2 linked regions of the Drosophila melanogaster genome follow. The protein of the gene in region 1 purifies or fractionates together with the protein of each later gene. This does not show direct contact. Each region holds a gene or a part of one and is shown on either strand. Other genes may lie near its edges.

Region 1 (3,929 bases):
AGGCATCTAGAACGTCTTAAATGGACATCTATGCATGAACAACTGAGCATGTTGGTGGTGATTTTCGGCTGGTCATGAGTGCCTATTGAATCTGCAATTAACTTAAGCCGTCTCCAAGCGAGGATTCGTGGTTATGCAACACGGCTAGCATCCAATCATCACCATTAAAAAGTTTATCAACGAGTAACGGAAAGCTTTCAAACATGTAACTCCTTCAAGAGATATAAACTTAGTAAGTATGTATATGTCTGTAAATGCAGCAGATGCATGAGCTAGGTTGTGTACAATCAGTTTAACAATATATGAACTTCGAAGGAATGCTTCAAAACTATTTGATTAGCTTGCAAGAAATGAACTGAGTATAAGAAGCAGTTCTTCGATTTGTGCATGACCAATGATATATGAATATACATTTGAATAATATTAGTGACATTTATAACTAATACCATCCTCGATACGAGTGATTTACAATGAAATTTTATAGCATGCCAGCGAATTTGATTTCAATGATACAGAGAATACTTATGTAACAGGCAATCAAAGGTCGAATACAGATACTCAAACGATTTAGTTTTTAAATGGTTGTGTTTGTGATTCAGTGTAATGTGATATTCGGTGGGTGGCTTTCGATGTGAATGTATTTATTTTCATCAGTAATGAGACTACAACAAACGGCCGGTGGCTGCAGCAGCGACGATCAACAGAAGCGGATGGTCGCTATATATGCTATATGCTATATGGCTAGGCTATATGGCTACTCAAACGGATCGAATTTACATACAACTTATAACGCATATATATAGCACTTTCTAGATGTGGCAAGCTTTTAAGCAAATCGATCGGCAGCGGTACATAATTGCTGTGGTTGCTGTTGTTGTTCGTAGTTCATTGCGATTGAAAATAGGTGGTTTACCTGACTTAATGCCGTTGGCATAGCCTTCATCGTGTGAATATTTACCGGCAGGGGTGGAATGCCAGTGATTCCACTAGTTCCGCTCAGCAGTTTCTCCACGGACGTCTGTCCGGTTCCGTACTGCATCGATTGAATGGCATGGCTGCTTAGACTCGAGGATATGCCGCTGATTGAGTTGGGCACCAGGGCCGATATGGATGATAGGCCGCCTTGGCCGCCGCCCCCGACCACGCCTCCCGATCCAGCGGAGACGCTGTGGGCGGCAGCAGCGGCGGCCGCGCTGTGCGAGCCAAGACTGGTGCCGCTCAAGCTGGTGCTGGCCCCACCATTGGGCAGCGTGGAGGCCAGCGATTGCGGCAGGCTTGAGTAGCCGGAGGATAGGGCGGAGACACCGCCGCCGCCGCCGCCGACGCCACCTCCTCCTCCTCCGCTTCCTCCCAGAACTGCTCTTTTGTAGCGGTTCAGTTCTTCTTCGAGTTCTGCGGGCATTACAAATTCCATTCTATATTCTATTTCTGTATTAGTGTTATCTCTGGCTTGCTTACCACTCTTTGATATGGTTCTAAATTCGCTATTTACCGTGCTCAACATGGAACTGGGCGGCAATGCTGACATGCTGGCGCTGGCCGAGGTGCGAGGTTGTTCCAGCTCGGCCAGCACGCGATTATCCTGCAATTAGGCAATAAGGATAGATAGATTTGTAGTAAAATGACAATTCTCTAGAGAACTTGAATGTACATCTTAATAGGCTATTACTTTAGCATTGATCTATTATTTCCCCAACTGCCCTGAGAAGTCCGAAGTAGACAATTTTGTATAGAAAAAAATCCAAATTCAACGTGAGCAATCCAAACCAGATTGGACGGATGGATAGCTCGGTGCCATCCGGAGCCGAAAGCGGTCTTATCAAGGAGTACAAGGACTTTGCCAAATGCCTGGACGAACTGGAGTTCAAGACCGATGAGCTGCTAATCGATGCTAAAATGGTGGATCAGGAGTTGGCCAACTGCCACAAGTTTCGCGAGGATCAGCTGCTGAAGCATCTGACGGAGAAGAACGACGACGACGAGCAGATGCAGTTGCTGCGGGAAAACATCGAGCTCAAGGCGACCGGCGTTGAGTTCCAACACGGCATTGAGCTGATCATGGAGAAGTACCGTGAGCACAGCGAAGGGGACATGTTAATCGATACCTACCAACTGAGGGAGCACTACCTGGCCGGTTTGTCGAAGGTGGTCGAAGAGCAGGATGCCCGCATCGAGCGTATGGTTGATGTGATGAAGCTAACTGTCGACTTCGAGGACCGGAGCAGTGCCGAGAACCAGCAGATCATTTGCCAGCTGACTGATGAAAATGAGCAGTTGCGTCGTCAGTTGCAGATCAGTACCACCGATGAGCTGTTCCGCCAGGGAGCACTGAGCTCCAGCGAAAGTAGCACTCAGATCGGACCAAACGATTCTTTGGATTCGAGTGCCACCCGGGAGAATAGCATCTACAGCATAGATAGCTTCCTCTCCTGCCTTTCGCCGAGCAGCGTGGAGGATGATTCGGAGTGCTCATCCAACAATTCGCTGCTGAGTGAGCTGGAAGTCACTTGCTTTATTGAGGAGGCTCTGGCCGAGAAGCCCGAGGAGTAGACCTACAACATGGACGAATAGGCACAACACACGTTCCTGCCCCACTGCAACACTGGCTGTTTACGTTGATTGAATACTTGGTACTTGGTACCCGAAATATAATTTCATTCGAGGCTACACTATCCACACACTACTAGCTGTCTGTTAGCTGTTGCTGTTCTTTCATAAAGATCTATATACCATTTGCACTCCTAGGAGATTAGTTGCACTTAAATACCTGCTCAATCTTTGCCATTATGATATCAATCTCGGATCCTTGGTCCTGGTGGCTGATTGTCGGTGCCCAAGTGACGGTGGAGCTGCTGGCCGATGTAGGAATGGTCGCGCCGCCACCGGAGGACACGCTCCCCATTCCGGAGCAGGCCGAGCGGGATGCCTGTTTGGCCTTCAGAGCCGACGTCAGTTCGATTTGCAGCTCCTCGCAGCGCACATTTTCCAGCGCAACCTATGGATTTTTAGAGTTCAATACGATTGAGTAGATATGATTTGAGGGCATATAGTCACCTTCTTTTCCAGTTCCCGGGCTCTCGACTGCAGATTCTCCACCGCCTCGGCATCGGGACGAGCGCTACCGCTCAGATTGCGTATTTGTGCCAGGGTTTCCTAGGATAGCATATATATATAAATACAGATAAACAAAATGTTCTATAAATCCTATAACAATACAATTGCAATATACTGTTCTTAAAATCAAACTATAGTACCATAGTTTTTCATCTGAAATTCCATTAATATGTGCATGAGTTCACGGTACCTGGAAGGACACTCACCTGATGCGCCCGCTCGATCTCCGTGCGCCGCATCTCGGCATCGCGCAGCTGCAGGCTGAGGGCGTCCAGCATTCCGTTGGGGGTGGTGCCAGCGGCCACGGCAGCGGCCGCCGACTGATGATGGTGCATCGACTCGTACGGCATGCTGTGGCTGCCCCTCGGACGACTGCAATGGAAGCGATAATCGCACATGAGAATGGGGTCAGTGAATCTGCAGCACGACGAATGGACGAACTGCCGCTGGGCAAAGACTGCAGGACTTGGCAGCTATAACTAGTTGCTGCTTTTATTATCCCTTATTTATTCATGCGCCTGATGGCTGGTGCCTGCTGCCTGGCGAATGTGGAAATAGGTCAGCTGCCTGGCACGCACGTGTCCTTGGGGTTCAGTGTGTGTGCGTGTACGTGTACGTGTGTGTGTTTGGATTGTTGCGAACTTTGAACTTTGGGTTAATTGCCTGCCTGACCGTATTTATTGTCCACGCACAGCCTACAAAATCTTATATTGGTCGGCTCGGCTCATTCAAACGCTTATCTTAATTTCATAGTTTGCAGCACAAGCTGTCGTTTATGGTTTATGGTCAACGGTATGCCAAAGGTTTAATTAAAA
Region 2 (3,929 bases), on another chromosome or scaffold:
ATGAAAACAGGTGGTTTAGCATGATGCGCTGCAGGAGTAGGTCGGGCTGCCCTGATATGTTGACGTAGTTGCTCGGTAAGTCGGTGATCTTTGCTGAAAGCGCTTGGAGTGTGTCCAGTCTGACAATATCAGAAGATATCGTCCTCCAGGAAAGGTCTTGGCGTTAGTACCTGTTTTCGCCGTGATGCCAGACCGGGCTTCAGTCTGGGCGCCACACTACTACTGCCAGGAAGAGTCTTTCCTTTCCTTCGGGATCCAAGGAGAGTAGCCGTTGAAGGCAAATCCACTCGAACGGCGACAGTATCGATAATCCCGTATTTTAGCTGTCTTGTAGAGCTGGAAAAACATTGATGTTTACCTCCATCGATGTATCAATACATCGAAATTTTTAAGGGTGTTTTTTAATGTATTTTAGTCATTATCATATTAAAAATGAATACCAAAACTAAATCAAAATGGGTAAAAGTTCTTTATAAATTTAAAATTCATACTTTGGTGTTTTTATTGCCTGAAAATCAAAATGAAACTTAAAACTACTTTCTCGTCAAACACAAAAATTATAATGAAAAATGAATTCAATTTAAAAGAAAATAAAACAAACATCGATAAAGCTGCAAACTATAATTAAGATATGCACTCATTATACCCGTTACTCATAAAGTAAAAGGTTATACTAGATTCGTTGAAAAGTATGTCAGGCAGAAGGAAGCGTTTCCGACCATATAAAGTGTAAATATTCTAGATCAGGATCAATAGCCGAGTCTATCTGGCCTCTCTCCGTATGAACGTCGAGATCCCAGGAATTTTAAAAAGCTAGAACACAGAAAAAGACGCAGCGCAAGTTGGTTGACCCATGTTGCCACGCACACAAACCTGCCAGCCCCACTCTAACGCCCTAAAACCTCCCAAAAATGCCGCGCAAAACACACATTTTTAAACCTTTTTTCGATATTTTTTTCATAATTCTATTAGTCGCTAAAATTTATATCGATATGCCAAAAACTTTTTACACGCCTACTCTAACGACCAAAAGCCGTCAACCCGGTCACGCCCACAATTTTGAACAATTTGTAAACTTTAACCGTTGCATGCTCTAAAGGTTAAAGTATTGCCTTCAAATCCTCGAAAATGAATATTTTATTCGATATTTACGGCAATAACCAACCCTTTGAGAGTGTTCAGTCAAAGACACTACAATAATTCTTTATTATTCTAGAGACTTTGGTTCAGTAGAACAGTTGCGATAGCAACCTTTGTAATCAAAAATCGTTTCAGCAGGTAAAACGCGCCATTCCAACTGGATTTTCTATACATATATATTTTATTTTCTATAACCTATTTCTATTGTTTCAAACTATATGGGCGTTCATCAATTACTGTGCGGATTAAGTTTGCAATGTTTTCAGAAAAATAAGTTGTTTCGTCGAAATCCGAATCCGCGCAAGTCTGAGCCAATGTAGTAGCGTAGAGCACTTGTTTTCGATTCGTCAACGTTTCATTATTTTGTCAATAAATGACAGAATTGACTGCTGTTGCCTTTGTGGCAATTCACTGACTGTTAAATTAATATGTATCCTCATTACGTGGCAAGACAAGTTAGTATTATTCGCACTTGTTTGGTGTCTTGCCCCACTTAATACATTTGTCTGTCTTGCCATTAGCCGATTAGCTTAGCAAGATCTTTCCCTGCAAATGGTGATGGGTAAAACAGAAAAATCTAACATCGATGTCCGAAAATTTCGATGTTTCCGATTTTTTTTTAAATATCTATGTAGCGCTATCTCCGATGTTTCTTCCAGCTCTATTTTGTAGTTTGCGAGATCACAGCCTTCAGTCAGACAGACCGGACCTGATCGAATAGTGTTTATGATCAGGAGTACACTATACTTTAAGGTTCGGAAACACATTTTTATGCCGACTACAAACATACCCTTAACCTTTCTAGCATACGACATTGCTCTAAAACATTTTAAAATTCCGAAATCTCCTTTCTTATTATAACAATTTTAGAAAATTATTTGTTTCTTTTTATTGGAAATGTAATTGCAGAACATTTGTATGCCGACTACAAACATACTCTTAACCTTTCTAGCATACGACATTGCTCTAAAACATTTTAAAATTCTTAAATCTTATTTCTTATAAAAATTTTAGAAAATTATTGTTTGTATTTATTGGAAATGAAATTGCAGAATGGAATGGTTCTATCGTTGCATGTCAACATAGAAACTGGTATATGGTATATAAACTGGTATATTGTATATTATTATATACAATAATGCTTAGCGCTTTTTTCATCGTTCCGTGTTCATCACCAGTTGATTGTCGCTATTTTGACGGAAATATTTTAAGTATGCACACAAATTTACCGCGAAACCAGGTGTTTTTGTACAACAATTGTTCAAAGTTAAAGAAAACTAAAAAACACGGGTAGAAGGTTGCAACAATTAATACAGGAAAATTACAAAATTCCAAGGTAAGCCAAGCGTGCATTGTAAAATAAAGGTAAAAACGTTGCGCAATATCAAACATTTATATTATTGCGAATTTAATGTTCTTGAACTTAAGCGGTCCTCCCCGTACCATATAATTTATTTTTAAATCAAAAAAGTAAACAATTTCCAACCGTTCCAAACATTTTTAATGCCTGGTTTAAGTTGTCGTAATTAATCGGCACATCCTTAACTCGAAAATTGCTTAATTCATAAGAATGACCAACTAATGGCATAGTTTTTTGTTTACAATAATTCTTGAAAACATTGCTATTGAACGTACATATTTTTGTATCAAATGCAAATTCATTCTGTATGTATGTATGTATGTATGTATGCATTTACATATGTGTGTATATCTTATGTGGTCGGAAACCTTTTCAAATTTTCATCGGGAAAAGACAAATTTTATAGTTACATTAAATTAAAGCAGGCCTTTAAAATTTGGATTCATTGTCAATGTTTCGGCTAGTCGGATTTGTCAAACAGCAGCCACTCGTGTATTACTAATTACTAACTTGTTAATCCGCTTTTGTTCTCGTATCCCCAAAGGTTTGTTTGGATGTAAAGTAATGGTCTTGGTGTGCAATGAGTGGTTAAAAAATAATGTTGATGAAGACCAGACGTCAAGTTCATTATCGCCGACGCCAGCATCAGGAGCAGTCGGATCAACGGCATTAAACAGAACTGGCACAACCGACACGGCCACGGAATTACCTCAGACGACCAGATATCCATCCGGGGAAGAACCTGCTGTGAAGCCAGAGGAGGCGCAATACGCTTTAAACATGGAAACTGAAAAAAATTTGGAGCAGGACAATTTCTTTCATATAATGGACATAAAAGAAGATATGGCTGATAGTAACAACGAGGCGTCCACGAAGAACCAGGAAAATAATAATATGGAACTTTGTGATTCCAACACAGTATGTATTGACCGACGTCCGGCTGAAGTTTCCCAGCATGCTATGAATATGGCCATGAACTCTGTGCTGAATGCAAATAACACCGGGGTTGGAGTTCGAGTAACTACTGCCTGCAGTCTGTTTAGCCCACTAGGAGTACTAAACAATAGTGCTTTACAAAGGGAGGTGGCATCGGAATGCGGCACTTTACAAGTCTCTTCAGTGCCCCCAACTTCTGGCGTAGATCTAGACATAGGATTGGAGTCTGCCCCAACGCCATGTAAGGGTGCAGCAAAAATCGTACTCCTATGTGAACCAAAGTCGCACAAGTTTGAAACGAGATCTATATTGCTGCAGCCCAACCAGGATTGCAAGGTGGGCCGCCTTATAGCTAAAAGTAAGGCGGGTGAGGGGAACGCTATATTTGACTGTAAAGTATTGTCAAGAAACCATGCGATTTTGTGGTACACTCCAGACGGTAAATTCTGGGTCAAAGACACAAAATCCAGCAACGGTACCTTTATTAACGACA

Evidence for each region.
Region 2: the proteins of h-cup (region 1) and Slmap purify together in Drosophila melanogaster (affinity purification with mass spectrometry, with the first as the bait; one large-scale study listed by BioGRID). This does not show direct contact.

What each region holds. Positions count from the first base shown.
Region 1 is NT_033777.3:15,380,720-15,384,648, reverse strand, and holds h-cup (heineken-cup), read left to right. Parts: upstream 1-1,697; 5' UTR 1,698-1,779; coding exon 1,780-2,550; 3' UTR 2,551-2,767; coding exon of another isoform or gene 2,768-2,995; 3' UTR 2,996-3,054; coding exon of another isoform or gene 3,055-3,153; 3' UTR 3,154-3,242; downstream 3,243-3,929. Other genes in the region: Rbp (RIM-binding protein), read right to left, coding at 914-1,392, 1,459-1,582, 2,768-2,995, 3,055-3,153, 3,321-3,486.
Region 2 is NT_033779.5:22,576,777-22,580,705, forward strand, and holds the start of Slmap (sarcolemma associated protein), read left to right. Parts: upstream 1-2,295; 5' UTR 2,296-2,476; intron 2,477-2,973; exon of another isoform or gene 2,974-3,044; 5' UTR 3,045-3,064; coding exon 3,065-3,929.